2 linked regions of the Nothobranchius furzeri genome follow. The protein of the gene in region 2 binds, or shares a complex with, the protein of the main gene of each other region. Links are inferred from orthologs where the notes say so. Each region holds a gene or a part of one and is shown on either strand. Other genes may lie near its edges.

What was found.
Region 1: the proteins of cinp (region 2) and airim are in contact, whole or in part, in a cryo-EM structure (PDB 8RHN), measured with the Homo sapiens proteins. The link is inferred for Nothobranchius furzeri from reciprocal best matches to the Homo sapiens genes CINP and AIRIM. Residues at the interface, in NP_116019.1 of Homo sapiens: Leu161, Leu162, Thr165, Glu169, Asp177, Leu178, Leu180, Ser181, Tyr182, Ser184, Met185, His188, Pro190, Tyr191, Val192, Glu193, Ser194; in NP_001289959.1 of Homo sapiens: Leu107, Gln110, Ala113, Ala114, Asn116, Leu117, Phe119, Val122, Ala124, Leu125, Phe128, Pro129, Asp130, Leu131, Arg134, Leu135, Lys138, Gln139, Ala142.

Annotation. Positions count from the first base shown.
Region 1 is NC_091759.1:26,713,917-26,729,612, reverse strand, and holds airim (AFG2-interacting ribosome maturation factor), read right to left. Parts: upstream 7,659-15,696; 5' UTR 7,550-7,658; coding exon 7,293-7,549; intron 6,989-7,292; coding exon 6,815-6,988; intron 6,745-6,814; coding exon 6,626-6,744; intron 6,542-6,625; coding exon 6,501-6,541; 3' UTR 6,312-6,500; downstream 1-6,311. Other genes in the region: cldn35 (claudin-4), read left to right, coding at 5,418-6,101; cdca8 (borealin), read left to right, coding at 8,952-9,042, 9,310-9,438, 9,577-9,617, 10,258-10,333, 10,406-10,464, 10,532-10,608, 10,678-10,776, 12,769-12,898 and 1 more. UniProt on the Homo sapiens protein: Part of the 55LCC heterohexameric ATPase complex which is chromatin-associated and promotes replisome proteostasis to maintain replication fork progression and genome stability.
Region 2 is NC_091758.1:16,260,790-16,277,419, reverse strand, and holds cinp (cyclin-dependent kinase 2-interacting protein), read right to left. Parts: upstream 10,484-16,630; 5' UTR 10,356-10,483; coding exon 10,328-10,355; intron 9,224-10,327; coding exon 9,052-9,223; intron 8,821-9,051; coding exon 8,685-8,820; intron 8,455-8,684; coding exon 8,325-8,454; intron 7,878-8,324; coding exon 7,675-7,877; 3' UTR 7,182-7,674; downstream 1-7,181. Other genes in the region: znf839 (zinc finger protein 839), read left to right, coding at 1,652-1,739, 3,302-3,422, 3,822-4,287; H/ACA ribonucleoprotein complex subunit DKC1, read left to right, coding at 11,065-11,080, 11,998-12,047, 12,127-12,213, 15,719-15,810, 15,881-16,065, 16,279-16,343, 16,415-16,541, 16,619-16,630. UniProt on the Homo sapiens protein: Component of the DNA replication complex, which interacts with two kinases, CDK2 and CDC7, thereby providing a functional and physical link between CDK2 and CDC7 during firing of the origins of replication.

The sequences.
Region 1 (15,696 bases), on a different chromosome or scaffold from region 2:
CTCCTTCAGACTGACTCATTGGTTCTAAACCTCCTTCAGACTGACTCGTTGGTTCTAAACCTCCTTCAGACTGACTTGTTGGTTCTAGACCTCCTTCAGACTGACTTGTTGGTTCTAGACCTCCTTCAGACTGACTTGTTGGTTCTAGACCTACTTCAGACTGACTTGTTGGTTCTAACCTCCTTCAGACTGACTTGTTGGTTCTAGACCTCCTTCAGACTGACTTGTTGGGTCTGGACCTCCTTCAGACCGACTCGTTGGTTCTGGACCTCCTTCAGACTGACTCGTTGGTTCTAGACCTACTTCAGACTGACTTGTTAGTTCTAACCTCCTTCAGACTGACTTGTTGGTTCTAGACCTCCTTCAGACTGACTTGTTGGGTCTGGACCTCCTTCAGACCGACTCGTTGGTTCTAGACCTACTTCAGACTGACTTGTTGGTTCTAACCTCCTTCAGACTGACTTGTTGGTTCTAGACCTCCTTCAGACTGACTTGTTGGGTCTGGACCTCCTTCAGACCGACTCGTTGGTTCTAGACCTCCTTCAGACTGACTCGTTGGTTCTAGACCTCCTTCAGACCGACTTGTTGGTTCAAGACCTCCTTCAGACTGACTCGTTGGTTCTAGACCTCCTTCAGACTGACTCGTTGGTTCTAGACCTCCTTCAGACTGACTTGTTGGGTCTGGACCATCTTCAGACCGACTCGTTGCGTCTGGACCCCCTTCGAACTTGACTTGTTGGTTCTAGACCTCCTTCAGACTGACTTGTTGGTTCTAGACCTCCTTCAGACTGACTTGTTGGGTCTGGACCTCCTTCAGACTGACTTGTTGGGTCTGGACCATCTTCAGACCGACTCGTTGCGTCTGGACCCCCTTCGAACTTGACTTGTTGGTTCTAGACCTCCTTCGGACTGACTTGTTGGGTCTGGACCATCTTCAGACCGACTCGTTGCGTCTGGACCCCCTTCGAACTTGACTTGTTGGTTCTAGACCTCCTTCAGACTGACTTGTTGGTTCTAGACCTCCTTCAGACTGACTTGTTGGGTCTGGACCTCCTTCAGACTGACTTGTTGGGTCTGGACCATCTTCAGACCGACTCGTTGCGTCTGGACCCCCTTCGAACTTGACTTGTTGGTTCTAGACCTCCTTCGGACTTGATTCGTTGGTTCTAGACCTCCTTCAGACCGACTCGTTGGTTCTAGACCATCAGACTGACTTGTTGTGTCTGGACCTCCTTCTGACTTGATTTGTTGGTTATAGACCTCTTTCAGACCATCTCGTTGGTTCTGTACCTCCTTCGGCCCGACGTGTTGGTTGTGGATCTCCTTCAGGCCAACTCGTTGGGTCTGGACCTGCTTTGGGCTAACTAGTTGGGTCTGGACCTCCTCCTGACTTGACTCGTTGGCTCTGGACCTCCTTCAGGCCAACTCGTTGGGTCTGGACCTCCTTCAGGCCGATTCTTGGGTTCTGGACCTCCTTCAGGCCGACTCGTTGGGTCTAGACCTCCTTCGGACTTGACTCGTTGGTTCTAGACCTCCTTCAGACTGACTCGTTGGGTCTGGACCTCCTTCGGACTTGACTTGTTGGTTCTAGACCTCCTTCAGACTGACTCGTTGGGTCTGGACCTCCTTCTGTCTTGACTTGTTGGTTCTAGACCTCCCTCAGACTGACTTGTTGGTTCTAGACCTCCCTCAGACTGACTTGTTGGTTCTAGACCTCCTTCAGGACGACTCGTTGGGTCTGGACCTCCTTCTGTCTTGACTTGTTGGTTCTAGACCTCCCTCAGACTGACTTGTTGGTTCTAGACCTCCCTCAGACTGACTTGTTGGTTCTAGACCTCCTTCAGGCCGACTCGTTGGGTCTGGACCTCCTTCTGACTTGACTTGTTGGTTCTAGACCTCCCTCAGACTGACTTGTTGGTTCTAGACCTCCTTCAGGCCGACTCGTTGGGTCTGGAGTCACTGCACTGACCTGGGATTTAGTCAGCTGGGCTCTGTGGATCTGTTTGTCCATGGATTCCTTCAGAAAGCAGACTCGTACATGTTCAGTATAATTGGTTTGGTGGTTCTCTTGACGCTGTTGCTTAGGGTTAGTCGTTTACCTTTGATGTTGTTTATCGTGATGAATTTTATGGCGAGCAGCGGAACCTCCTCTACAGCTCGCGATTAGTCTTCAGGAAGGGGTTGAAGGGGCGGAGCCTCGGGTGGGTTTGTTTTTATTTGTAGCATTCTGGGTAACAGGAGGAGGAGCAGGAGGAGCCACGCCTCCTCTGAGGGTTTTGTGTAGCAGGAAGCAGCTTCCGATCGGATCGCTGGAGACAATCAGGACTTGTGGACCGAGTTATGGGTTCGCAATCTGGGTTTATGTGTCAAATCGACCTATCATCACATCCCTTTTATGATTTGGTTTCTATGGTAACACTGCACCCAATAAGCGCTGGCCATGCCGCCACTGGGTTAGAGCCCCCTGCTGGTGTAAGTGGATGCTGCAGGACAGGATGGGAGGGGACGGGCGGCGTGCACGCCTCCTCGGGCGGCGGCTCGGTGAAAGCCCTTTTGTAATAAACCATCCGTAAAGCAGCAGGTTTACTATGAATGAGTTTGAGCTTCTTCCCGTTGAAGGCGTGCACGCTGGCCTCCAGCGCCGACAGGAAATGACTGCACGCAGGGCGTTTTACCTTGAAAAGGTCAGGTCAGCGTCTTATTTTGAAAGGGTCGAACATCACTGACCTCCAGGCAGATAATCCATGACTGTTCGTAAAGTCACAAAGCAATACGGCCCCGATGGATCAGCTGTGGCGAACCCAGCTAGCATTACTTCTCTGGTTCCTTTGGTCTTTGGTTGGTTTTACTTTGGCACCCGCCAGCGGGACGTGTTGGGCGGACTAGTCGGTCGGCTGTAGACCGGTTCCTCTACCACATGTAGACTTTGCTCGCCTGCATGCCGAAGTTTCGTCCTTTTAATATCGATCTTTTTCAATCATATTTATTATGAGAATAAAATATAAACTTTTGGGGTAAACGTTTCTGGGTTAGTGGGACTGATTTAGTCTAGCAATACCTGTCCGTCTGGCGTTAAGGCTCCCGTCGATCATCTGCTTGTTTCTGGGGGGGGGGGGTTCTCAACATCGGTTCCGATCCAAACGAGGTACTTTGTTCAAATGTGGACCCGTTAGAAGAGCTACCCCTTCCCTCTGTGGTGAGTTGTGAGGGGGCGTGGTCACACGTACACACCTGTGGCCACGCCTCCTGACCCCTCAGAAGCATTTGTGTTTGACGGGTCCCGGCGGCACCGGAGGAGCAGGATTACCTCTTTTTAACCTTTTGAAGCTCCCTGATGGGTTCGGCTCCACGGAGAGCACGGATTATTTTGGAATTCCTCACTTTGATATCTTGTTATATTGATGGATTTGTAATTTTGTGTATTTCATTTTTGTTTTTACCTCTTTGGTTCCTGTTGGGGGTTAAGCTAAAGCGGTTGGACCAGAACAGTTCTGTTCTGTGATTGGTTGTAAGAAGGCAGGGCCTGATTTAGCCCCGCCCACCCAGCAGAGGGTCATGAATTTGCTATTATTATGTGACATGTTCAGATTTTTTTTTAGCCTGCAGGGAAATCTTGTGTTAATGTGCAAAGTAATAAATCGTATTTTATGCCCATAAAGCTGCTGTCCTGTTTGTCCCGTGACCAATCAGCTGATCGCCCTTACAGGTCAGCTGATCGCCCTTACAGGTCAGCTGATCTTACAGGTCAGCTGATGGCCTTTACAGGTCAGCTGATCTTACAGGTCAGCTGATCGCCTTTACAGGTCAGCTGATCGCCTTTGCAGGTCAGCTGATCGCCTTTGCAGGTCAGCTGATCGCCCTTACAGGTCAGCTGATCTTACAGGTCAGCTGATCGCCTTTACAGGTCAGCTGATCGCCTTTACAGGTCAGCTGATCGCCCTTACAGGTCAGCTGATCTTACAGGTCAGCTGATCGCCTTTACAGGTCAGCTGATCGCCCTTACAGGTCAGCTGATCTTACAGGTCAGCTGATGGCCCTTACAGGTCAGCTGATCTTACAGGTCAGCTGATGGCCCTTACAGGTCAGCTGATCTTACAGGTCAGCTGACCTGAAAGACTAGGCGGATTTGGAACATCGTTATTCGTTTCAGATAAAAGCATCAAACATGTTTTTGGCAGTTTCATTTATTTAAAACTAAAACAGCTGAATTTTTTTAAAATCTCTAAATGTGAGAAAAACAAACAAATCTTTTATCCTTCAAACAAAAGAAAAATGATTTCAGCAAAAGTTTGGAAACAAAAGAAACCAGCTGTTAATCAACAGGATTAGATGAATCTGTGGCAGTCACCTGACCTCCAGAGCTCCGATTTTCTCTCTGGGCCCATGAATGCATCATTTCCAACCCAGGACCGTCCGGCCTTCCCTACGGAAGGTTTCACTCCCAGAATCAGGATTTGATTTAAATTGAACTGGATGTCTGAGGATGATCATCTCAGCCACTTCCTGTTTCCTGTCGAGCTGTCATGACGACCGTTACCGTGGAGATCGTGTCACCAGACAGAAGAAACCCGAGCAGCTGGTATTGATGTTGTAATATTTAATTCATGGTGCTACTGAGCGCGCTCAGAGCTGAGGGATTGATCCGTTCTGAGCGCGCTCAGTGTGTTTATCAGCTGATCTGTGAACGGTTCTGCTGTGAGCAAAGCCCCCCCCCCCCCCCCCTACACACACCTGTCCAGTTCTCCCTATCTGGTTTGACAGCAGAACCTGCGGGTCGAGCCGCACCAGCCTGTTCTTTCAGACCTTCTGAGAATCGGACTGACCCATTTGGGCCGGTCGCTGGGGGAGGGGCTGAAGTGGACACCTGGGAGGAGACACTTCAGCTGGAGACATTTAAACCGACCGATCATCAAAACAGCTGATCAGGTTCTGAAGCAGCTCGCTGGTTCTGGACGGGTTTCTTTCCAGAGTCAGAGCCGATCCAGGTAGCACCAGAGCTTTGTATATCAGGTCTCCGTAAGGTCACCGGCCCAGGACACGGCACCGAGTCTGAACTGGACTCGGACAAGCAGCCCACTCTGATCGGATCCGTTGACCGCGCCGGGGTCAAAGGTCACAGCGCCGCTGCTGAATAATGCATCAGGTCCTCGTCGAGAACAAAAGACAGAGAAAGTCTTCGTGTTGGTGATCCAGAGACGAGGGGCCGAGCAGAGGACAGCCATACCCTTGGAGCCTCTGACTGGGGACAAACCAAGTCCAAGGGCCCAAAGGGACCTGGGGACCGGAGGAACTCGGAGCAGATGCTGATGAGGAGGAGGACGAGGCTGAAGGCTTTCTGACATTCCGATCAAAGGAAAGAGAAGGGGGATCAGAGAACCCGAGCCGACGCACAGAGCCTCCCGCCAGCAGCCGTCGCCATGGTGAACACGGGGATGCAGCTGATCAGCTTCACGTGCGCGGTGACGGGCTGGATCATGGCGATCGCCGTCACGGCGCTGCCTCAGTGGAAGGTGTCGGCTTTCATCGGCAGCAACATCCTGACGTCGGAGATGAAGTGGGAGGGCATCTGGATGAACTGCATCTACCAGACCACGGGTCACATGCAGTGTAAGACCTACGACTCCATGTTGGCGCTGCCGCCGGACATCCAGGCCGCTCGCGCCCTCATGTGCCTCGCCATCTTCATGGGCTGGCTGTCCTGCACCGTGTCCTGCTGCGGAATGAAGTGCACCACCTGCGCCGGAGACGACCGCCGGGCCAAAGCGGGAATCGCGCTGGCAGGAGGAATTCTCTTCATCGTCACCGGCCTGTGTGTTCTGATCCCGGTCTCCTGGACCGCCAACACGGTGGTCCAGGACTTCTACAACCCCAACGTTCCCGTCATGCACAAGCGGGAGCTGGGTCAGGCCATCTACCTGGGCTGGGCCGCCGCCGTCATCCTGATGATCAGCGGCGCCGTGCTGAGCAGCACCTGTCCGCTGATGGAGCGGGGCGGCCGGTACCGTCGCGGCTACGTCGGCCGGAGTTTCGCCAACTCGCCCGCACCGGAACCACCGAAACCCATCATCTCCAACAACGTCCCTCTGAAGGAGTACGTCTAGGGGGGGGGGTACCACTAACAGAGTGACCCTTTATTTATTTATTTATTTACACACAGGACTGTGTGTGTGAGTGTGTGAGTGTGTGTGTGTGTGTGTGTGAGAGTGTGTGTGTGTGTGTGTGTGTGTGAGAGTGTGTGTGAGAGTGTGTGTGAGAGTGTGTGTGTGTGTGTGTGTGTGTGTGTGTGTGAGTGTGTGTGTGTGTGTGTGTGAGTGTGTGTGTGTGTGACAGAGACTGAACTATTTGGCGTGCTAGCTTGTTAGCGTGTGCGGTGCAGGCTGTAATCTCTCCAGATCTTCACACAAACTTCTGGTTTTCAAATAAAAGCGTTTGACATTAAGAGCTGGAAGCGTCTTGTGTCCTCGGGTCGGGTCGGGTCGGGTCAGCGAACCCTCGCTAGCTCACTGAGGCTGGATGAAGAGAGAGAGTCTGCAGAGTGAATCTGAAAAGAGACAAAATCCAGCAAATCGGACCGTTGGGAGACCTGAACATGGGGGTGGGCTCTGGTCCACGTGTCACGACTCACCTGTGATCTGTTGATCGGCACTCGGAGACTCCAGAGATTTCCACCTTTTGGGAGCAGATTCCAGCAGAAGGAGTTGGTCCGGCCTCAGCGTCTGCAGCAGAGCTTTCCTCTGTAGGAATCTGAAGATGAGTTCAGGGAAACGACAACAGCAGGATAACGGGAATGCCAGGAGGCCCACAGGAAGGATACTGCTGCCTGTAGAAGCGCTCAGCGTCCTGGATCCACTGCAGCATGTCGGCCAGAGACGGGACGGTGGCCGAGCGCTCCGTCAGCATCGTCAGGTCCACAGAACTCTGCTGGTACTGCTGCAGGAGAGCAGAGGCCTGGCTACTGATGGAATCTCTGATGGACTGCAGACGGCACCTGGAGGAGGAACACAACACATGGACCGTCAGAAGATGGGTCACGAGCTGCTTCACAATAAATAACTAAAAAGATGAGAATAAAATGGGAGAAACAATTAAAAAGTAAGTGGATCATAGTTATAACGTCCAGCTAAGATGGATAGCCAACGCGCATGCGCTCCATCATAACCCTGGAACGGGTGTTGTTCTACTTCTGACCACTAGATGTCAGTATCACCCCGAAGCTCCGATTATTGATGACAATAACTAACGCTGACGTACGTTTATTTCCCGCCAGCGTGGTTCTGAGGGCTCTGACTCACATGTTCTCACCGAGCCTCTGGAGCACCGTGTCCGCAGCCTGCAGCAGCTTGACCCGCAGCAGCTCCTCCAGCTGCGGGAAGACTCGGAGCGGCGTGTCGAGCAGCTGGACGCGGGTCAGCGCGCTCATCTGCTCCGCCAGGTTCCCCAGAGCCTCCATGAGCGGGCTGCACTCCTCCAACACGCTCCTCCAGACCTCCCGCTGCTTCTCCAGACTCACGAAGCTCCTCCTCAGCGCCTCCTGCAGCGGCTCGGACATGCTCCGGTTCTCCTGCTCGAACCCGTTCCTACTTCACGCACGTCTCCACGCGGCAGCTCACGTCTAGAGCCCGCTTCCGGTCTCCGGATGTAAACAATGACTTATGATGCGTTCAGGGCACCTCAGAAGTCCGAGCTCTCACTCGAGCTCCATTTCAACTCCATCACCGTTGACCATATAAACAACACGTGTGGGGGGTGCAGTCGTTAGGGTGATCTAAACTCTAGTCCTGTGATTCATTTGTAGTCGGCAGTAATTCTAAATGATGCAATTTTAATGTTTTATATAGTCTAAAGACAGGATTACGTCATTTGACAAACACGGAATTCAGCAAAGTTACGGCTACAGTTCAAAAGTATGTTTTATGTAACAAGTGTAGGAAATTCCTACTTTATACGTTGTCAGTGAACGTAGCATGGAAAAGATCCAGTAGTTAGGAATGTTTTTATTTATCCATGAAGACAGCAGTGCGTGTCGGAACATAACGTACACCCTGTTAATAAATAATAAACACAGTTTTAATGGCGCTTAAACACGTTAAAGACCACAGCGTTTATTTTCCACCCTTTACATTTAACAATGTTCAGTTTTACAAACGGAATAAAACTACTGAAATGAAAGAATGAGCTTCAGTAAACTTTGTTCTTGTAAAAGAAAATGATAGAATGAACACATTAATCATTCAGTAACAATCTTCCTGTTTATAACACGTAAGTCAAAACCTACACACACCTATTCATATTTAGCTGTTCTTTAAGTCCCGATCAAGGACCAATTCATAAAGATATTGATCCAATAGAAACTCACAACGAGGAAGAACGGAACGTTTGTTGGTGAAACAAAGTTTCCGTCAGAGCTCTGCGTGCAGCGCGAGCCACAGAGACAGCTGTTGCCATAGATATGTATATATAAACATTTATGTTTATATAATAAACATAAATACAACACATAAACATTTATGTACATATGGCTGTTGTCACCGAGTACCCTAATAACGTGACTGTTACTACACCCCAAGCCACGTGATGGCAGTAATGCACGTTTGCCAAGCGCTGGTAAACGCCTCAGTGTTGTGACGCAGTAAAAACGTACGTCCTCATTGGCTGACGTGTCCCAGCGCAGAATTTTAAAACGTCTAGTAGGAAGAAGTAAGCGGCAAAAGAAACGCAGGTGACTTTTCTCTAATTTAAGGCTGATAAATCGGATTAAAGTGATGTTTTATCAATTTTATAAGATGTGTGAATAAATGGTCGGTAGAAAAATCCGCGCGAAGCCCTGATGCTAAATAACTAGCTAGCGCAGTCAGCGGATAACGTCCTCGTGCCTGCTCTTTTAGCTAAAGCTTATCTTCTGTGAAACGGTTTCAGACTCTCTGGACTAAATCCTTCCACTCCGCGCTGACATGGCTCCACGGAAGAGAACCACCAGGCAGCAGAAGAACAACCCGAAGGTCGCGAAGATCGAAGCTTTTCTGCACGACTACGACAGCGAAGGTGCAGAATTAGCCTAAGAACTCAGATGCTAGCAGACACTCTCTAAAGGGTCTGGGTTAGTGAGCGCTAACCCGAGTTAACCAGAACCCGTTACTAGCAGACTCTTACTGGGCTTCAAGTCACTCAAACGCTGGAATTTGTTGTTTTGAAGGATTAAAAAAAAGTTTTAACTTCAAGCAGAATAACTGACTTTATGGGACGAGGAAGTGAAAAGAGTTTGTGTGTGTGTGTGTGTGTGTGTGTGTGTGTGTGCGCGCGCGCGCGCAGTGAAAACCAGGGTGGACCAGCTGCAGGGGCAGTTGGAAGGCCTGCTGAAGGACGTGGACAACCGCTACGACATGGCTCTGATCAAACTATCCAAAGCTGAGCGACAGGCCGTCTGGTTGGAGCACTGCAGTAAGTCCTCCTCACACACACCGCTGAGCTCACCATGAAGCGGGTCAGAACCAGCACTCTGAGCTTCTTCTCAGACTGACTGTCACCAGAGACACCCAGGAGGAGCATTCCCGTCTTTTACTTCCGGTTTCTGTACAGGTGCTGAAAAACCCAAAACCCCAGAAGTCAGCGACACAAAGGTGAGTTCCCCCGTCACCGCCAGAGTTTTCTTCTGCTTGTGAAGAGGGTTGTCCTCTAGTCCAGTCTCAAGCCATCCTGGATGAATGAATCTACACCAGGGCCCTCACTGATCAAGCGTCTTCTGTTCCTGCCTGTGACGGAAACTTAGAACGTTAGAGCGAACGGTCAAAGACCTGATTTAAGAAACGTGCGGTGGCGTCTCGCACGCACGTTCCGTACCCAGGTGCTCGTGTCTGTTGGGTTAGGGAGTAACCGATCCGCCATGATGGCACATCAGATTCCCGTCGGTCACACGCGTCCATTATTGGTTTTAGCTCCAGTTATCTAACAGCCGTTCCCCGCTCCACCTCTAGATGCTGCTCCTACGCATGGTCACCGCTGTTCTTGTGATTAGGAACAGGAGTACAAACGTTCCACGCACAGATCTGTTCTAAGTACGGCTGATAAACGAGGGCCCAGCTCCTCCAGGGATCCTATCCAGCGTGTTGTTTCTCTGCTTCAACTCACCCTTCATGGTTGCTGGTGAACCACCTGCTGAATACAAGCAGGCGTGTTGGAGCAGAGGGACCTCTAGAAGCTGCCGGATGGCGGTTCTGGAGGCCTGGACACTGCTGACTTCCTGCTTTATTTGTGTTTAAGCAGAGAGAAGAGGAGGATGCGATCTGCGAGAGCGTCGTTGCCGACGACCACTCCGTCCTGAAATCCATCCAGAAGAGTAGGTTTGTGTCGGCGTAAGGTTCTGTTGAAGGAACAAAGTTGAGCTGTTCCTGTCCCTTCTGACTTGCAGCGGTGAAGAAGAAAGGTGGAGCCTCCTCAGAAGATGAAAACCTGCTGACCTCAAAGAAGGTTTCTGATTTTCTGGTTTTTACCCAGAATGCATCGCTCTGCTTGTTTCATAGGCTTTTTATTTTAGGGGAGAACAAGCAAGAAGCCCCCGTCCTCATCAAAACGATCCAAGGCGGTCAGCAAACAGAGCGCCGTCGTCAGACAGTGAGTGTGTTTCCTTAGCTGAAGCTCCGCCCCCTCAGGTGTGTTGGCTCTGACTGTGAGTGTGTGCAGCTCCAACAGGAAGCCGATGGTCACTCCTGCCAGATCCGTGCTGGACTCCTCCCTAATGATGGGACAGACTCCTCTCATCACCCCACGCTTCGACCCCAGGTAAGCCTCACCTGGCCTCCGAGGGGCGGTCCTTAAACGCCTCTCCCCAGAGAAAAAAGGGAGACAGCTCGACTTTCAAAATAAAACCTTTTCATTCTGCCAATCAGTGTAATGAGAGCCATGTGATCAGTTCCATCTGTGATCGGCTGGTCAGAACCTCTGATTGTTTTGGTCCATAGAAGCTTTTACTGTGCCCTGGTTCTGGTTCTGGTTCCACCAGTTAAACCAGAACCAGCGCACTCGGTTAAAGGTGTGGAACGCTCGTTTAAGCTGCGGTGGTCTCTAGTAGGAATGAATGACTTGTAGGTCGTTCTCAGGGGACTGAAAACACTGGTGCACCATTTCTAGAAACAAGCAGCGAGCCAGATCAGAGCTGAGCTTCGGAGGGCGGGATCTGGAGTCTTACTTCCTGATATGTGGACATCTCCGCTCTGATTGGCTAACAACAACACGACTCCAACACTGACTACTCTGCATCGTTGATATTTTATCTCCTCCAATAACACAAGGCTGGAGGAGTTCTGCTGTGTGGTGGATTTGCTAATGCTAATGGTTAGCTTATGCTAGCCAAGGCGTTGTCTAGTGTTGACTATTGAATAGTTTTCACTTGATACCGGTTCCTAAACGGTAATTAGATCGGTACAAGAAAACACGTTCAAATGACCCCACGACTTTTGGGTGTTGCAAAGGTCACCCCTGGGTGATGTCACCCCTGGATGATGTCACCCCTGGATGATGTCACCCCTGTGTGATGTCACCCCTGGATGATGTCACCCTGGGTGATGTCACCCCTGGATGATGTCACCCCTGGGTGATGTCACCCCTGGATGATGTCACCCCTGCGTGATGTCACCCCTGGATGATGTCACCCCTGGATGATGTCACTCCTGCGTGATGCCACCCCTGCGTGATGCCACCCCTGGATGATGTCACCCCTGCGTGATGTCACCCCTGGGTGATGTCACCCCTGGATGATGTCACCCCTGCGTGATGTCACCCCTGCGTGATGTCACCCCTGGATGATGTCACCCCTGCGTGATGTCACCCCTGGATGATGTCACCCCTGGATGATGTCACCCCTGCGCGATGTCACCCCTGCGTGATGTCACCCCTGGGTGATGTCACCCCTGGATGATGTCACCCCTGGATGATGTCACCCCTGCGTGATGTCACCCCTGCGTGATGTCACCCCTGCGTGATGTCACCCCTGGATGATGTCACCCCTGCGTGATGTCACCCCTGGATGATGTCACCCCTGCGTGATGTCACCCCTGTGTCAGAAACAAGCACATTCGCTCCTGATCCGTGGAGATTCCACGGTGCTAAAACGGATGCGCTCCTCTTCCTCTTTAGGAGGAAGGTGCCACAGCTGTGCCTGCAAGCCCACAACATCTAAACACCTCCTCATTTGTAGTCCAGCCAACCCTGCCGCTGCTCACATGGCTGCGGGTACGATTACGCTCTGAGTTTTGAGCTGTGTCGCTTTTTCTAACAGTTTTTCAGACCTGCTTGACGTTTCCCATCCTGAGCTTACCTAGCGAGCACCTGTGGTAAAGCTCAGCTGCTAACCGTCGTCTATTTTCACGTTCAGCCTGCATCAGAGTGACCCGTTAGAATCAGACAGAACCATTAAAACGTGGTTTTTCAGGGTTTCATCCCTTTAATGAGAGGGTGAGGTGTGGACGCTGCTGTCGTTCTGCGTTAGTACCTCCGGCCCGGTGCCTGATTCACACCAACTACAGAACGGGTGCGGTCTGGTTCCGGAGGCACCGTTGTCGTTTGGCTGAGCGTCTCCAGATATCCACTCCGGCCAGAACACCAAATCCGAGTTCACGCGATAACGCCGTATAAAGAGATGAGCTCTGTGGTCCGTGTGGATCTGGCGTTGGATCCAGACCGACCCAATCAGGAGACCGGGAATTGGAACCTGCATCCGAGTCCCTCGGTCCTGTTGAATGTGTCCCAGTCAGCATTCGTACTTTGTCTCCTCAGACTTCCTAAAACTCCCGTGGTGAGAGTTCCTCGTCACAAAGAGAAAGTCTACAGCATCTCCGTCAACGGGTCTCCCATCGCAGCGGGAAGTCAGGACATCGTCATCAGCGTTCCTGTGGGGAACGGAGAGGTGAGCGTGAGCGGACCTGTTGGAGTTGTTGAACTGAAACACTTGGTGTTTGTGTGACTCGGACTGGAGGATGTGTCCGTGACGGACTTGTGATCTGTGCTACAGAACCTGCAGCTGCTGGCCAGTCAGATGGACTCGGTGGACCTGTCCCTGCTGGACGAGACGGCTCTGAGAAGCATTCGACATCTGCAGGTGAATGATCAGCTGTTCCAGAGTGAAACATCTGGACCCATGGGGCGGGGCAGCTAGGTGCTGCAGCCAATCAAATCACAGCATCCTGTTAGAGGAGCGTGTCCTCGTCCCTTCAGAGGACACGTCAGGCTGCAGACCTGAGCATGAATCTGGAGTGTTGCTCACCACCAGGGCCGTAACGTAGCGGCCATGATGACACCGCTGCTGTGGAGAGCCTCGTCTCCTCCCGTTCTGGTGAGCTCCGGTCCCTTAACCGGGCTGAACCGGGCTGAAGGGTACTTCTAACCCGCTCTGCCTCAGATGCTGGAACACTCGTGCTGTACTTCTACTATGCTGCTGTTTCTACCACACCTGCCCGGTCCTGTGAGATTCATCAGCTGGTAAAGTTCATAAGTAGCATGGCTACAGCAGAAATCAGCACGCTGCATATGTGACATCACCACAGAAGCCCCTCCCCCAGCATAGCTGCTATTCACCACATGACCAGATTCATGGTTCTTTCCTCCTGAAGGATTTGTAGTTCACTCTAACACACCAGATGTTCTGTCCACACTCACACGCACACATTCACTCACACACTCACACGCACACATTCACTCACACACACGCACACAGACACGCACGCACACACACACTCACGGGCACACAGACGGACACACTCACGGGCACACAGACGGACACGCTCGCACAGGCATGCACTCACACGCACACACTCACGGGCACGGACACACACATTCACTCACACACACACACTCACACGCACGCACACACAGACACGCACGCACACACACTCACACGCACACACTCACACACACACACGCACGCACGCACTCACACGCACACACTCACGGGCACACAGACGGACACACGCTCGCACAGGCATGCACTCACGTGCACGCACACACTCACGGGCACGGACACACACAGACACACACACACGCACAGGCATGCACAGACACACTCACGTGCACGCACACACTCACGGGCACGCACGGACACACACGCACAGACACGCACACACGCATGCACACACACGCACGGACACACACACAGGCATGCACAGACACGCACACACTCATGCACACACACGCACACACTCATGCACACACACACAGACACACACACACACGCACAGGCATGCACAGACACGCACACACTCATGCACACACACGCACACACTCATGCACACACACGCACACACTCATGCACACACACGCACACACTCATGCACACACACACAGGCATGCACAGACACGCACACACTCACGCACACACTCACGCACACACTCATGCACACACACACGCACAGGCATGCACAGACACGCACGGACACACACACACACACACGCACGCACAGACACGCACACACGCACGCACAGGCACGCACGCACAGACACGCACACACGCATGCACACACACACACACACACGCACGCACAGACACTCACACACGCATGCACACACACGCACGGACACACACAGGCATGCACACACTCACGCACACACTCATGCACACACACACAGACACACACACATGCACAGGCATGCACAGATACACACACACGCACAGACACACGCACACACACATGCGTGCACACACACACGCACGCACGGGCACACGCACGCACAGGCATGCACAGACACACACAGCATGCACAGACACTCACACACACACATGCACGCACGTACAGGCATGCACAGACACACACACACACACACACACGCATGCACAGACACACACACACACGCACGCATGCACAGACACACACGCACAAACAGACACACACACGCACAGACAGACACACACACACACACACACATGCACGCACGCGCGTGCACAGACACTCGCTTGCACACGCATGCATGCACAGACACACACACACGCACGCACAGACACTCACACACAGGCATGCACACACACGCACGGACACACACAGGCATGCACACACTCACGCACACACTCATGCACACACACACAGATACACACACACGCACAGGCATGCACAGATACACACACACGCACAGACACACGCACACACACATGCGTGCACACACACACGCACGCACGGGCACACGCACGCACAGGCATGCACAGACACACACAGCATGCACAGACACTCACACACACACATGCACGCACGTACAGGCATGCACAGACACACACACACACACACGCACAGGCATGCACAGACACACACACACACACGCACGCACAGGCATGCACAGACACACACACACACACACGCACGTACAGGCATGCACAGACACACACACACACACACGCATGCACAGGCACACACAGCATGCACAGACACTCACACACACACATGCACGCACGTACAGGCATGCACAGACACACACACACACACACGCACGCATGCACAGACACACACGCACGCACAGACACACACACACACACACACACACGCACGCGCGTGCACAGACACTCGCGTGCACACACACGCATGCACAGACACACACACACCCACGCAGACACTCGCACACACACGCACATGCACGCACAGACACTCACACACACGCGCACATATACGCACAGACACACACGCGCGCACGCATGCACAGACACACATGTGTGCATACACACAC
Region 2 (16,630 bases):
AGAGTATAACATTGGGAGAAGATAACAGTTTACCAGGTAACCTGGAATAACTGAGCAACTTTCCCCAAATATCATTTTCACATTGGTTCAAATTAGGGCTGCAGCTATCGAATATTTTTGTAATCGAGTACTCTATCGAATCTTTTATCGATTAATCGAGTACTCTAATAAATTACACTTTTGCGTTTGTAAACCCTTATATCAAATAGCATGTTGTAAAATATGAAAGACCTCTTGAAATGAGCAAGCAATTGCTAGTTATTCTTCAAGTTTTATTCAGAATTAGTTTTCAAAACTTCAGCACTTCAACTTTACTTCACAGTAAACAAATGCGAGCGGCTGCGGCCCAAACAGCACCAGAACCGCTCACGGCGCATGCGCAAACATGGCTCGCCAGCTGTTTCCCTATTAACACACGTCCGTTTTAATTTCTACACTTTTTTTTCTCACACTAACAAGGATTGTCGAAAGCATGTTTGCCGTGGTTATGTCAAATTGTAAATGGTAAATGGCTGTATTTGATATAGCGCCTTCTAGAGTCCTAGAACCCCCCAAGGCGCTTTACAACACAATCAGTCATTCACACATTCACACACTGGTGGGGATGAGCTACGATGTAGCCACAGCTGCCCTGGGGCGCACTGACAGAGGCGAGGCTGCCGAGCACTGGCGCCACCGGTCCCTCCGACCACCACCAGCAGGCAAGGTGGGTTAAGTGTCTTGCCCAAGGACACAACGACAGCGACAGACTGAGCGGGGCTCGAACCTGCAACCTTCCGATTACGGGGCGAGCACTTAACTCCTGTGCCACCGTCGCCCCAAATTATACTGATCACAAAACATTTATTTACTTTCTTTCGTTTTCCTCCGCCACTCATAAATACCCGTGTCCTCCTGCAGCAATCCCGAGGGACAACAGACATCAATAACACAATAAAAAGTCAGACGTGTTGTAAAAACTGCTATTTTTAGCACATTTTAAGTCCGACGTGTTGCTACCAGATGTACGGTGGGAGCTGAAACTGAGAGCTACAAACGAAAAAGTCGCACAGTGTCCGCAGAATATATAGAAATACAGGCTAAAATGCATTATCTTGTAGAGACTCCGAGTCTGCTTGCAGAAGAGACGTTTACAGGTGCTGCAGCACGGAGGATGTGGTGTTGTGGTAGGCTAAATCCATTTTACAGTATTTACACTGGAGTACATTTTCCGCCTTACAACGTGAAAAATGGTCCCACACCTTTGACATTTTCTGTCTTTTTCGCACTCCACCGGGGTCCACGTTGTCCGCCATGGCTTAAAAGAAAGTTAAGTTGCGTTCGCTACTCGCGTGTGCATTCAGTGCAGTGCATGTGTGCGTCACTTATTTCGGTCCGGGTGAAACATGACCCCGGGCGATTGCAAAGCCATGAATTAATTAAACATGAAATAAACGAAGCCTCGAGGCAGAGAATTTGACTTCAGGATTTTTTGTACTCGAATTATTTGAGGTACTCGAGGAATCGTTTCAGCCCTAGTTCAAATAAAAACAACAAGGTAATAATCTTGAACAGAAGCACACTAATCCATTCAGCATTTATAGATGGAATGGGAGGACCTGGATGTAAACCATCATTTATTGTCTTTCTTCCTGTGCTGTTGTTGTTTTAGAACTCCAAGATGTTACCGCCATCAAAGCGATTTAAGATGGAAAACAGCATCACCGACGAACAGAAAGGCTCCGCGCCGCTAACAACAGGTACTGGTTGGATTAGGACGGATGCTTTGGTTGGTCGTGAGGCTCCTGCAAGCAGCTATAAATAGACCCAGGATTGTCAGCTGGGTGAAGAGTACAGCTGAGGGTGGTCTATTCAATTCAGTTCAATTCAAGTTTATTTATATAGCGCCAAATCACGACAAGAGTCGTCTCAAGGCACTTCACATAATAAACATTCCAATTCAGGTCAGTTCATTAAGCCAATCAGAAATAATGTTTCCTATATAAGGAACCCAGCAAATTGCATCAAGTCACTGACTAGTGTCAGTGACTCTACAGCAATCCTCATACTAAGCAAGCATAAAGCGACAGTGGAGAGGAAAACTCCCTTTTAACAGGAAGAAACCTCCAGAGAATCCTGGCTCAGTATAAGCAGCCATCCTCCACGACTCACTGGGGATCAAGAAGACAGAGCAGGCACACACACACACGCAGACAAAGACAAAGTAATGTGTCTATAGTTACAATGTTATTTCTTAGTAAATATTCTATTTGGTGAGAGATAAACTTTATTGTATTTATCCTAGTGAATCTATAATTAAACGGGTAAACTAGCAGGAGCACATCCAACGTCAATGAAAACAAAAAGTTATTATCAGGAGAGAGAGAATGTATTAGTGGTTAGCAGCAGTGTGCTAGACGATGGCCCCCTCCATGAGGCCACCACAGCTCAGCAGAACATCATTGTAGCTTCTTCTGGGGAGAAAAACACTTAGAGAGAAAATAAAGTTAACAGCTGAAATAGCACAAAATAGTACAGTTAAAGAGCAGATTGTAGAAGAAAGCAGTAGAGTGTGAAAAGTGGTCAGTGTATCCTCCAGCAGTCTAAGCCTATAGCAGCATAACTAAAGAGATAACTCTGGATAATCTATCCTATTTAGATGGAGACATGTTGGAGGCAGGGCAAGGGAGAGCCGTCTTTACCGACTGTACACTCCACCTCCCTCTACTCCCCCACTTGTCCAGATTTAGGCTAACATCAGATTTTAACCATAGGCCCTATCAAATAAAAATGTTTTAAGCCTAGTCTTAAAAGTAGACAAGGTGTCTGACTCACGGACTAAAGCTGGGAGCTGGTTCCACAGGAGAGGAGCCTGATAACTAAAAGATCTGCCTCCCATCCTAATTTTAGATATTCTGGGAACCACCAGTAAAGAGTCTAGAACAGGGGTTCTCAGTCCTGGTCCTGTAGGGCTGGTATTCAGCATGTTTTAGTTGTTTCTCTGCTTCAGCAATCCAGATATAATCCGCAGGTGATCAACGGGCTTCTGCAGAGCCTGACGGGCTGCTGAACAGGTGGTTTAACCAGTCAATTGTGTGTCTTGGAGCAGAGAAACCACTAAAATGTGCTGGATACCGGCCCTTTAGAACCCCTGGTCTAGGACTTCTGTTTAGTTTCTGGGTCAACTTCTCAGACCACCAAACTGCAGATAACACAAAGACTAACTGAGAACAGATGAAAACAGTTTGTGACTAAACTGTATCAAGGAAACAAAAGCTGTAATTTAGTCAGTTTTCTATCATTTGCTGCTTTTGTGTTTTAGTCTCTGTGACATCAGCCACTCCAGGAAATGCTCCTCTGAAGCCCTGCTTGGTCTCCGTGTCTCCTCTGGTGATTCCAGGTGGATCTAAACTACTCACCACCTCCGCTGACCTCTCCTCCAGGTGAGCTGGCCCTACCCTGTGTGTGTTTGGGTTGTTCAGACCTGCTGCTAACGTGAAGAGCTACATGTGGCGACCCGTGTTAGCAGCAGGTGAGAGCTCCTACGTCTCACTGACTGCATTACAGAACAGGTCCATTGATCGGTTTATCTTCTGATTTGGCTAAAGGGAGATTCCACTGAACTCTGGTGGATCAGGGCCAAGTCTGGGCCGCCTATTGGGTACCACTGGTCTAGAGATTGTTTTCTAGTGTAAAATAATCCAGTCTAGCTTTGATTAGATGGGGTTCTTCTATGTCACTGACCCAGACTTGGAGCTAGACTCTGCTAACCCTGGTTAGGGACCTGTATGCTGGTCTGGTCTGACATACTGGGACCTGAATCTGTTTCTTCTGGTTTCCAGCCTCTCTGGTGCTCCCTCTGCTCCAGCCACCTCCAACCCGGTTCCAGTTCCTGTCGTCCCAACAGAGGTGCATAAAGAAGAGTTTATGGATGCGGTTCATGACGTCCCAGTCCAGATGACAGGGCTAGAGACGTCTCCTTGTTCCAGTTCTAAGACAAACACAGCAGAGTCAAGTTTAGGCCAGACCACTGGTTCTGTTGAGCAACAGCAAAGTGACTCTCCAGAATCTGGATCCAACACAACAGAACCTTCTGAGGCCAAAGAGCTGCAGGAGGGCCAGGAGATCTACATTGAGACTGAGCAGCTAACAGTCCAGCTGGCTGAACCAGGATCAGATGGGATTGTTATCGTCAACGGACCAGACGGGACAACCATGCACATCCAGACACCAGAGGGCGTCCCACTGGAGGCAGTCCAGGCCATGCTGGGCATCGAGACTTCAAATGGAGACAGACCTCCCCAGTAAACCGGCTCTAGGGGATCAGAACTGGACCAGCAGCAGGGTGTGGCCACATACCCACCTGTCAGTTTGTCTCCTCCAATCAGAACTCTAGAAACATCAAAGGGGGGGGGCTTTCCACCTGGAACTGGTTCTGTCTTGTGAGTTTGGACCAACATGTATGATGGCTCCCAACAGGTGTGAGTTGGCCCTGCCCACATTAATGTTCACATCTTTGGCATTCTTCATTAAATCTGGGTTGAGATATTCTGTTCCGCTGTCACAATATAAATATAAAACTTTGTATTATTATTTTTATTCAATGTTTTTCTTCTGCAAGTGAGTACAAATGGGAAAGGATCCTCAGAATCCCCCAAGTGGACTCTTTAGGTTTACTTCAACAGGATAAAACGGGAACCTGGATCACCTCCAGAGGACAGAAGCTCTTCCTGCTGCCTGACGGGCTCCAGTGAAAAATAAAAACAGATTTTTATCAGAAAACAAACACACGCACTTGTTGAGTTTTTAACAAACTGTTTGGATTTCTATAATCTTTTCAAGGCCAAGTGTTTTCTATTGAATCTATTATTTATTCACCCTTTCATCTGGTGGTGAACTACATGGTAGCCACAGGTGTCCTGGGCCCGGCTGCTACTTTCTCACCACCAGCACTTACACACAAGCACGGCAAGTTAGGTGTCCTGCTCAAGGACACAACGGCAGAGTAAGCTAGGTTTGTTTCTGTAAACTGACTGGGTTCCAACTGGACTCAGAACCTCCAGAAACGCCCCAGAGAAGCGCCGCTGTACAGAACCCGATCACGTTCTGATACCTGGTTCCTTTGTGTAATCGGATCAGAACACTGGCCCGTTTCAGCCGTGACCAGTGAGAGAACGGGGCTGTGTGAAATCAAACTGTCACGTGGGCCCAGCTCGTGTGGTGTGTTTACCTGTCAGCTGTGATGATGTCATCAGCAGCCTCTGCTTGTTTTTAAACATTTAGCTGGTTGTTTGTAAACTAGTTTTCATTGTTTCTACATATTTGAAACAAGGGGATGTTTGGCTGAATGTTTAAACATAGATGGATATAAAGTGTGAAAGTTGGATTATTTTAGTATTTTTGTTATAAAACTTGACTCTGGACATTGTTGGACTGCAGTTGGGTGAGCTGAAACGTCTAGGAGAAACTTTTATTTTGATAGTTCAGGCGCAGAAGCTTATTTCCTGTTCCAATAAATCCTGTCACAGTCTCCGTTTCAGCAACAACTGAATTCTTCCAAAAGGCATGATGTGTAAAAATATTTGTGGGTAAGATTTGGTCATTTGGGGCGTCATCTAAATGTACCACCTTCTTACCACTTCCTGTTTGTAAGTTCATCTTAAAATCCGTCAGCTTGACGGTTTCCTACGCCTACCCTGCATTAGCTTTGGATAAAACAAAAAAAGATGGTGAAATGCTAGGATTTGAAAATCCTTACACTGTGATGTCACACTATGAATTTGCATATTTTTTGCAGCGAGGGGAGAGAGCAGAGTGTGATGGTGACTTTGCAACATGGCTGAACGTGTTCTCTTAGCCTATCAGAAGTGAGGTGTGTACATATCATTAATAATGAGCAATCCTGGTGTTTTCAGCCCACCTCTGCATCTCACAACAGGAGCATCATAGCTTTTTTAAATTACTCGTGAGCAGTGTTGGGAGTAACGCGGTACAAAAGTAATTACTGTAATGCATTGCTTTTTGCTGTAATGTGGTAATGTAAGGCATTACAGGGAAAGAAAAGGGTAATATTTACTCGGTACAATTGTCAGTAACGCGGTAATTACAATGCATTTTCAAACCCAGAATCAGGATGTGGGTTTCCTAAAAATTAAAATTGCGGGTAGCCTGAAAAAAGATCCAGTATCCACATATATGACATCATTTATGGACTCAGCTTTAGGGCATTCTATGAGCAGAGAGGACGCAGCGGTAATGCCTCAAATACTCCAGCTGTGCAGTGCGCACGGCCGTTGTTAAATTCACAAAACCACTCCACCAAAACAAGGTCATTCGCTTGCGATCATTTATCAGCCGATATTCTCTGGTACTTCATGTAATTTTCAGCTGAGTTCATAATCTGTACCCCGGTGATTTCAACTCATTGCTGCTGGAGCGCAGCGCATATTAAGCTTTTTATTTTTTTGCTTTCGGTAGATCCCTTTGGCTGATTAGTTAGAAAGTAGGAAGTCTAGGAAACAGTTTTTCTGGAAGACGGAGAAAACATGCAGCATGCAGGAAGGTCAGAGAGAGAAAGGGCAGGAAATGATTCACATAAAACCAAGAAAACAAAACAAAAGTGCTTGAAAAGAAAAAAATGGCACATTTATCCCCAATACACATTTTTACCAGTGAAAAGCAATAATATATAAGCATTTAATATTTATACATGTGATAGAATCAGATCACCCCAGAAGTCAGTCCCACATCCAGGGCCGTATCAAGGCATTTGAGGACCAAGGCAAACATAGGCTTGGAGCCCCCACCACCTCACTCCCTGCTCAGATGGCCCTATAAGATGGCAGCGTGCTGAGAGTACAGATTGTTGTTGCTTTTATTTAATAAACAATCATTTTAAAGCACTGTTATTATATCTGACTGTTTTTAACAGCAACCCTAGCTCAGACACCACATCACCTTCCACATATATGTCATGAGCTCGCTGAACGTCACATTACCAGACTCATATTGAAGTTGTTTTGGTGAAAGTAACTTAAAGTAATGCAAAAGTAGTGTAATGCCGTACATTTTTAAATCAGTAATATTGTAATATAATGAATTACTTTAAAATGAAGGTAACAAGTAATAAATAATGCATTACAGTTTTGAAGTAACTTGCCCAACACTGCTCGTGAGGCATTGACTTACAGTAGAGAACACTGCAAATGTAAACCACAACTTAAAAAGGTTAAATGAAGAAAGGAGCAAAGCTTCAGGATAACCGCGCTCGTCTCAGACCAGTTTATTAGCGATCATCTAATGTTTCAGAGCTGCTCAGACCTCCAGTTGTTGCCCAGCTCTGACCTGCTGATGGTGCGGAACAAGCACGATATCTGATCACTTCAGAACTATCAGCCTTTGGTGGTGGTGCGTTCACTGACCACGACATGCTTCTGCTGCTTAACCGTTGTGCATTCAGGAACCATAACTAATCAGGTATGAGGAGTTCCAGGATGACCGGACCTGAGTCATGGCATTGGTGAAGACAGAAGCATTTGTTATGAGATGTTTTGCTGAACATGTGCAGGATTTCATACCCAGTTTCTGATTCCTGCTGCTCTTCTGTAGGACAATCATAAAAACTTCTCTAATGCAGGTCTACACCCTAACCATCGCTCCCACGGACCACAGGAGGGTTCACTACAGCAGGCCAGTCTAGAGTGGGCGATGGCCCGTCTCCAGCAGCAGAGCCTCTAGTCCAAGTCTGGTTGCTGCTGGGATGAAAGGCTGGTGGAGCCAACAGGACAGATAGACCTTGGAGAGGTCAGAGGTCATGGTGTGGGCGACTTCCTGCAGAATCGTCTGCTTCAACTTCAGCTCCTGACTGAAGGCAGCCAGCAGGACACCAGACATCTCCTCTGAAACAGCAGACAGACCATATTAAACTTATTGGTTCAGTGGATTCATCAAAGGTTGGAAGACAATTGAAGTTATTTTCTAATGTGTGTCCAGACATCTGCATCTCCACCGCCAAAGGAACCTGCTGCTCTCATTCCAGAGGACCACCGGGAACACCAACTCCTCCACAAGGAGTGGAGACGTGGGTGATGACTGAACAGGAGGTCTTTGTTATCATCAGAGTTCTAGTTAGTGGATCACTCATCAGAACGTCTGAGGTCACAGCATGAAAGCATGCGTTTGTGATGGTAGCAGCATCAGATTGTTGCCATAGAGACAACTGGACCACCTCATAATCAGCATATACTCCTCCTGCTCAGTTTATGATGCCAGGTGTTGGTAGTTTTCCCCGTGGAAGCAGAACCCCGTCCAGGTGACGTCAGCGTGTTAGCTTCAGGTGGACCTACCAAACTCCCGGGTCTTCCAGCTGAGACACAGAGGGACACGTCTTCCTTCAGGACCAAACTGAAACTCCTCCAGCTGCAGAACGCCACGCTGTATCTCCACCAGGTGCTCCATCTTTTTCACCACAACAACCTGAGCAGAAGAAACACGTGGCTGGAGTGAACCAGGGTTACGTACTGAAAACTAAATGAGCAGAAGTCATTTATTTGACGTGAGATTGAATTAAACGGTCCCAGACCAACCGCAGCTTTCCACACACAGCAGCTGTTTATCAGGTTAGAAAAACTATTTTATTCTGAGACTCAACATATAAACTCCTGATTTATGGAACCGTGCCAGATGAAGGTTAAATGAAGCATCACCATTCTGTCAACGACATCCTGCAGTTTGAGGCATTCATCCTGCAGCTCCGCAGCTCCAGCCACCTGCTGCGCCTCAGCCGATGTGGACTGTGACGGTGGTGGACACGTGTCCAACACCAGCAGATCTCCCTGAGAACTGAAGACATAAACATCACCACAGCTGATGATCCCTCTGATTTATGAGTCTTTAAAAACCGACCGCTTAGAGCTTAATGTAGACAAACGAGTAAAGCTCCGTCTTATGATTGCTCTAAAGAAAACGAGTTATCTCCACCCTTACTCATCTGGATCCCAGAGGGTATCTAGTGTGTGTGTGTGGGGGGGGGGGGGCTAACTTAGAGAAAAATAACCTAAATAACAAACTCACTGCCTCATGTTGACGATACTTGCTGCCAAATTGAATCCTTCGTCGTTCAGCCTGTCCCACCTGAGCATCAGGTTGTGCCAGTCAGCGGCGTTGTCTCTGATCTTCCTTGCACTTCCTGTGATCCAGGTGCACCTCCTGTTTGATGGGGTCGCTGAGGTGTCACAAGAATCACCTAGAAACCGTGAATTTGTGTTATTTCTCCTTTCATGCAGTGAAACGGAGCACACACACACACACACAGAAATGATTTGTTTGTCATACAAAGATCTGCTAAACTAGCTTGGGTAGACAGGTTTGTCCCCCTTAAAGAGACATTTGTCCTTTTGGTTTAACTTCACTTCACATCAGCCATCATCTGACCCGTTTGAGGAGTCATGCTGCAGCTGGTTGGGCCAAACTGAACCTGGACCACAGAAACATTAGCTGTCAGATGAGCTCACAAAGGTCAGGGGTATTAAAGGCCACGGCTCATAGACCGTCTCCAGGCAGCTTCATGGTCCTGGGACCTCAGCTGACAATTTTAATAAAGTAGGAGGTTGATGGGAATGTGGGCAACCACTAAGAACGTGGATCCGAGATGAGATCCACTCTCAGGTTGATCAGAAGGAAGAATCAGACAAACAATGCATCCAGGACTGTTGAAGCCTTTCTGATCCCACCATGAGGGGTTGAAGACCCAGGAGGATTCCTGGTGACAGAAAAACCCAAAAGAACAGACTAGAGATCACCAAAAACCACACTGACGAGCTTCAGGGAGAGCATCATTTTGATTGATGAGATGGAAATCGGCTCTAGAAACACTGTAGAAGATGGAGGAAGATCAGTTCTGTTCTGGACTCACTGCACCTGGACCAAGGATTCCTGAAAAGGTTCAGGGTCCAATCCCAGGACCACCAAGACCCTCTGGAGCCAAATCTACTGTCCAGAGTCTATCATCAGAAAACACAGCTAGGAACACCGAGAATGGATCAGAACCAAGCACTGGACTGTTCTGAACTGATCTAGATGCTGTTGAACATCTGTGATAAGAGCAGAAACATCTGGAGAAAGAACACCTGGAGCAGTGTGGCCACGAGTAATGGGACAGAATACCTGCGGACAGGAACGATCTAAATAAGTTGTCCTAGTGAATGTTGATGAGGCAGCTGGGTTCTGCAGGGTTTCATTTACAACCCTGCAGTAAAACATCCACACGTCATCAGAATGTTTTAACCCGGAAGCTGCAGGTTATTCAGACCTGAACAAAAACTACTTCACTAATCAAGAAGATCCTCACCTTCCATCTGATCCTGAAGTTCTCGCATAAAATCCAGCTGAATTATGCTGAGTCTTCTTCTTCTTCGACGTTTGTGGGTGGTAGCAGTGCAGCATTACTGCCCCCACCTGGCCTGGAGTGGACACACGTTTATCAAACAATAAAAAAGGAAGTATTTTTATTGGATCTGCAGCTGTGGACACTCAAATTCCACTACGCGGAGATAGTGGGATTTTGGGGTTAACTGTAAACACTGATCCGTCCCGTCTGCCGTCCGGGTGGACACTGAGGTATTTATGTTCCTCCGCCACCTCCACCTTCTCTCCCAGGATGGAACAAGCATTTAGCATGTTCCCGTTTCTTCTAAAATCCGCAGTCATCTCATGTTTTTTCCGTTTTTTAACACACTATTGCACTAGAGGCCCACCAGTGATCTGTGTCTCACTACTTAATGACAGACTTATCTGACTCCAAATATCACTGGCCTTTTTTAGTGTTTATTTCCCCCCAGGATGCTAGTTAATTAAAGAAGAGCATTAGAACCACCGAAAGAAAAGTCAGAATTATTTTTCACATTTATTTTTTTCCATTTTATATTTAATTATGTAAAAATTGTATTTAAATAGCAAATTCATTTATTTATTTACCTCATTTGGTTTCATTTCTGCTCTGTGACCAGTTGGTGGCGGTAGTGCACCAAGTACTTTCGTGCCAGCCGCCATAAAACATCAAGCAGAAGAAGAATCTTTCATTAGAAGATGGCGGACGAAGCTGGTGAGTGTCGAGCACGTTTTGTAAGCGACAGTCTGTGTTTAATTTATTGCTAAGTTTGAACATAATTCTGCTGAGTCAGGGATTTTATTAACAACACGTCCACGTGCACGTACAAGCGTGTTTTACGCAGAAGGAATCGCAGTAAAAAAAATTCCTAAGTTGGTCTATGAGGAGGTTTGGCAGCGTCTGAGCCAGTTAAAACAAACAAATCCCTCCACGTGTCCAACATGCTTTAGTAGTTGGGTTTAATTCAATAACAGAACTAAGGGTTTGCTCTGTGGACTCGTGTTTTCTTCATAAGCTCCAGCAGCGTTTAGTGTAGTTAACTTTGAGAGAGCGGGTTCTCGGTCAGTGGCCTGTTAGCTCCGCTAGCAGCCACGTGCGCTCCACCACGTGCTGCAGCTGCAGGCCACGTGGGCTCTATATCATTCATTTACAGTTTTCCAAATTTACCAAACTGCAACAGGGATTTAAATTTCTGTTCCTTCAGATAAAATACTTTCTTTCGGTCGTACTTTTTCCACTGAAAGGCCCTTTTGGGCTCAGAGTTGCACTGGAGCAGGGCCCATCTCCAGGGCCACCATGCTGCACGTGCTGCAGGTTTGCTGCTCCTGCACACATGAAGGTAATCGCCTGGATAAACCTGTTGAACACTCTTTTAAAAAGCAGGTGTAGTATGGTCCCTGGAGTTAGTGACCTTTAACCTGAGGTTACCTGGGACCAGTAACCTGTTATAATGCAATGTTCAGTTCCCGGTGGGCATGAAGACTCGTCTAGAATATTGGTGAACACTTGAGCAGTCTGGCTAGTGACAAAACACCACTTAGGGCCCGGTAGATTGTTGTTCTCTGAGAAAATCCTGGAATTCTGATTTTAGGAAGGATTTATGCTACTTTAGTTTGGTTTTTATTTTGCAGCATCCACAAAGAAGAAGAAGAAGTCGAAGAGAGTGGCTGAAGATGTTGGGGTTGGTGTGAATTTATTCAACTTAAGATCTATTTGGAGATTCTCTTCCTGTTGAACAAACTGATGTTTTTATTCAACAGGAGATCCAAGAGAGTCAAGAGTTTTTAATCCAGCCAGACACCAAAGTCCCCACTTTGGACTCCTCCCAGTGGCCCTTGTTATTAAAGGTCAGGAACCCCTCCTCCTGTTTGTGCCTGCTGACATGTTTGACCCTGGTCATGTGATATGATGAACTGGTTTATCCATTCTCTGAGTGCTGTGGGCCTGTTGTGGTCTTTGCTTCTGCTCCGTTCTGGATCAGAGCTTCTCCTGCGGCTGCTAGAGGGGTCTCGGCGTTCTGCCTGACCACGACCAGTAGCCGTCTGGGGAATGACCCCACTTGACCACAGCCAAGACGACCTCCTATTCTGATCACATTGACTCTGTGCTATAAAGCATTTGTTATCTGCTCTGTTTAGTGACATGTTTGTGGTTTCATCTGGTGTAATGAGTTGACTCGACTAGAACCCTGTTGGAATCGGCTCTAGCTGTCAGACAAGCGTTTCCCCTGGGAATTTTTCCGGTGGTGGTGCTGGGGGGAGAATGATTGACAAGTCTCACCTTTATGTTAATATTAAAAACCCTTCTACACCCCTGCTTAGTAGACTTAATGAAGTATTTTTAAGCCAGTATAAAAATGACTGAAACAAAAATTTACATATTTGGCATTATTGACCCATATCTTTGATTTAATTTGTGTTAAGAACATCAAGATGCATTACAGTGAACATTATAATAAAGTAAATTTTTCTAGTGCAGAGAGGAGACAACCCATAGAAGCACTGATTTGATCTCATTTCAGAGAAAAATAGAACAGGTTAGATGCACCTAATAAATAAAATTACTAACAAACTCAGGAATCTGTTTCTTTGCTTCATTGTTCTGGTGCTGAAAATATCACTAATGCGGATCAAAGGAGATACACAGATGAATGCACCTCTTATTTATTATTTGTAAATTAGTGGGTGTGGTTTACATCAATGCATTATTTTAAATCTGAAATTGGATTGATCAGAAGTTGATATGTGTATTGTTTATCTGAAAACTATTTACAGAGCAGCCTCAGAACTGAGATTAAATATTTTTGATCACAATAGTAAAGAAACCATTACAGAACAAGTTTTTCAGTAAAATCAGAACATTAATGTTTAAGTGCATGAATAAATGCATCTGAACTCATGCAGTAGGAACTAGGAAATATGAAATACTAGAATTTATTTTAATTTGATTAAACTGATTTTTTCCTCACATTGTTGGCATTTTTCCCACACACGGTTAAACAAAACTATGTTGACTGAGGTGTGTGTGTGTGAGTGAGAGAGTTAAAATAAATACATTAAAAAAAAAACCTGAGCGGAGGCAGTGACCGACGCATGCACAAGCCGTTTTCAGCTCTGTCTTGTCTAGAGCTGAAACAACTAATCGATTATAATCGATTATTAAAATAGTTAACAACCTTTTTAGTCATCGATTAGTTGTTTAATAATCATATTTTACCGCATAAAGTCTATTTTTTACCACAATCTGACATCGGTTACAAGCTGTTAAATTTGCCGCCAGTGTGTGGCAGTAATGAGCCACTGATCTACCAGTGGAGCCGTAGAAGAAGAAATGAGCCAATGAGTGCCCTCGGTTTTCATGACGTATCACGTTACTGACGCTCATCTTGCTGTGAGAGATGGCGGAACAAGAGGAAATACGGAAGAAAATAGAAGCGACAAAACTTTAGAGAAACCCCGGACAAAAACCTCACGAGTATGGGAGCACTTCAGTCTAGATGCCTTGAAAAGGCAAAATATGCAAAAACCATCTAGCATGGCACGGAAGCACGACGTCCCTAAGTGAACATTTGAGACGAAAACGTGGGGGCTGAGGAAGAGCACCGCGGTCAAGTGAGCCGTCATTTGGAAGAGCCAGCCCGGTAAGTAACAGAAAATAAACAAGCTGGACTTAGTGTTTTAGCTGAGTTCGTTATAGTGGATGTTAAACATGTTTTTTTGTCGCGTCAGTCTACGGTGTTCTACTTCTGATTGACTAGATGCAATCGTGAATCTCCTCCGTGTTGTGAATCATGCGCTTGCCAAATTCAGCACGTCTGTTTATAAGAATGTTCTAGTTAAGAGAAAAACGGCACAAACCCATAACTATGTTCCTCATTCAAAAAAGGACAACTCTGCGGTGAAAAATATACAGACGAGCTGTGTCCAGGTGAATATAACGCGGCATAGTTGTACGCTTTCAATTTTTAAATACAGGAGAAATTCAGAAAAAGTCATTTTTTTACTATTAAAAGGCTGTTTTACTGTCTAACGCTGTAAAACGCCTCACAACACATTTTTATCATGTTTCTTAAACAGTATTACACAAAATAAACATTTTTCACATTTTTCTAGCTAATTTAAACACTCCCGACTCAAAGTAAAAACCTCATGAGCTTCTTACTTAGAGCTTTTTAATAGTAAAAAAATTAGACTTTTTTTCTTAATATCTCCTGTTGCGGCCTATTTTGTAGAACGTAACCCTCAAAATAAATGATCACTGTATATTGTTAATTAATACAAATAATTTAACATTGATTTAGTGTTGTAGTGTGTGTGCTGCTTTATTTTATATGTGTACTTATTTCAGTCTATTTGTGTTTCTTATGCAGAAAAAAACAAGCAACGATGGACAACTACATGGGGAACAAGACACTCACCCCCCAGCAATTCATACCACTTACAAACTCTATTCTAAACATGCTGGTAAAAGACATGAGGCCACTATCCATGGTGGAAGGAGCAGGCTTCCAGCTAATGCTAAAAAATTATTCTGGACTGATATTTTGCACTGTTTAGCTCATTTTATACTGCTGACTGTGTTCATGTGCAATAAAATAGATTGCAGTCAACTGCACAATTCTCTTATGTTTTTTTTTTCTTAACTGAAATGCATCCATCACTTGTATAGGTTAAATAGCTAAACAGTAACAAACCGATTAATCGAAAAAATAATCGACAGATTAATCGATTATGAAAATAATCGTTAGTTGCAGCCCTAGTCTTGTCAAATGCACCGCGTACGTTATGAAAAAAGTTACTTTAAATATTCAACCGAAAAAGAGGCGAGCTGAAGAAAACCTAGAGTGCACTGAAGAAAGGTGAGCAACAGTGAAGCAATCAGAGAGATCCGTTACTGTGTGTGGATGGGCCGGACGGACTGAGCTCCCTGCAGACTTATGTGTAGGGAGGGGCGGGCACTCTATGTGAATGGCCAATCACAGAGCATGAAGACAGTCAGTTACCCAATGAGGATTTTCCTTCAGCACACTTAGATATTTACGAGTTTAATGCTCGTATTCGTCAAAAATGCTTTATCCGTACCGGATACTCGTCTGAAATGAGTATCCGGCTCATCCCTAGCTGTAACCTCCCTGCCCTGCCACCTCCTCCTTGCTGCCTGTCGGCTGTGATCACAAGCAACGGAGTAGTTCCCGCTGCTTCTTCGGGAAACGGCGCAAAAAAAAAAAATTTAACTTGGGATCTTGTAGGCGTGGCGCTGGGATTTCAGCTGTGGCAAGCCGCCACAGCTACACCTATGTAAGGGAAACTCTGCAGACCCACTAGCTGAGGTGGTTTGTTTTGCTTCTTGCAGAATCTCCATAAGCTGAACATCCTTACATCTCATTACACCCCCATACCCAGTGGCAGCAACCCGCTGAAAAGAAACATCAGCGACTATGTCAGGTACTTTCACTAGATCACAGCTCTGACTGAGCTCTATCTACAGTGGTGACCATGCATCTCCTCTCATCAGGTCTGGATTCATCAACCTGGACAAACCAGCCAACCCTTCGTCTCATGAGGTGGTGGCGTGGATCCGGAGGATCCTGCGAGTGGAGAAGACGGGCCACAGCGGGACTCTAGACCCAAAGGTCACTGGCTGCCTCATCGTCTGCATTGACCGAGCCACCAGACTAGTGAAGTCCCAGCAGAGTGCTGGTGAGTGCCCAATGCATTAACCCCAAAAGCTTTAAGAAGTGGGCAAACATTTATTAGCTAATGTACATGCTGTGTGCATGTCAGTAGCCACTGGTGGACTCAAATCTTTTGAATATGTGGCCTACATCCAACAGGAAGTCATCCATTTAGGGTCAAAGATGCCATTTGCAACTTGTTGGTTGTATAAAAACAAAAAGCTTCTGTGTGTTACAGGTAAGGAGTATGTGGGAATCGTTCGGCTGCACAACGCAGTAGAGAGTGAACACGTGCTGGCCCGGGTAAGTCACACCCTGTATTTGCTGCCTTTCCTCTGACCTGACCAGCTGATGGTCCTGAATGTCCTCTGCAGGCCCTGGAGACCTTGACCGGAGCTCTATTCCAGCGTCCTCCCCTCATCGCTGCAGTGAAACGTCAGCTGAGAGTCCGAACCATCTACGAGAGCAAGCTGATCGAGTACGACCCAGAGCGGAGGCTGGGTGAGACACTCATTTTGACGCCGAGGTCATGAAGTTTGATGCTCTTCTGCTTTAAATCATGTTTTTCTTCTGAACAGGCATCTTCTGGG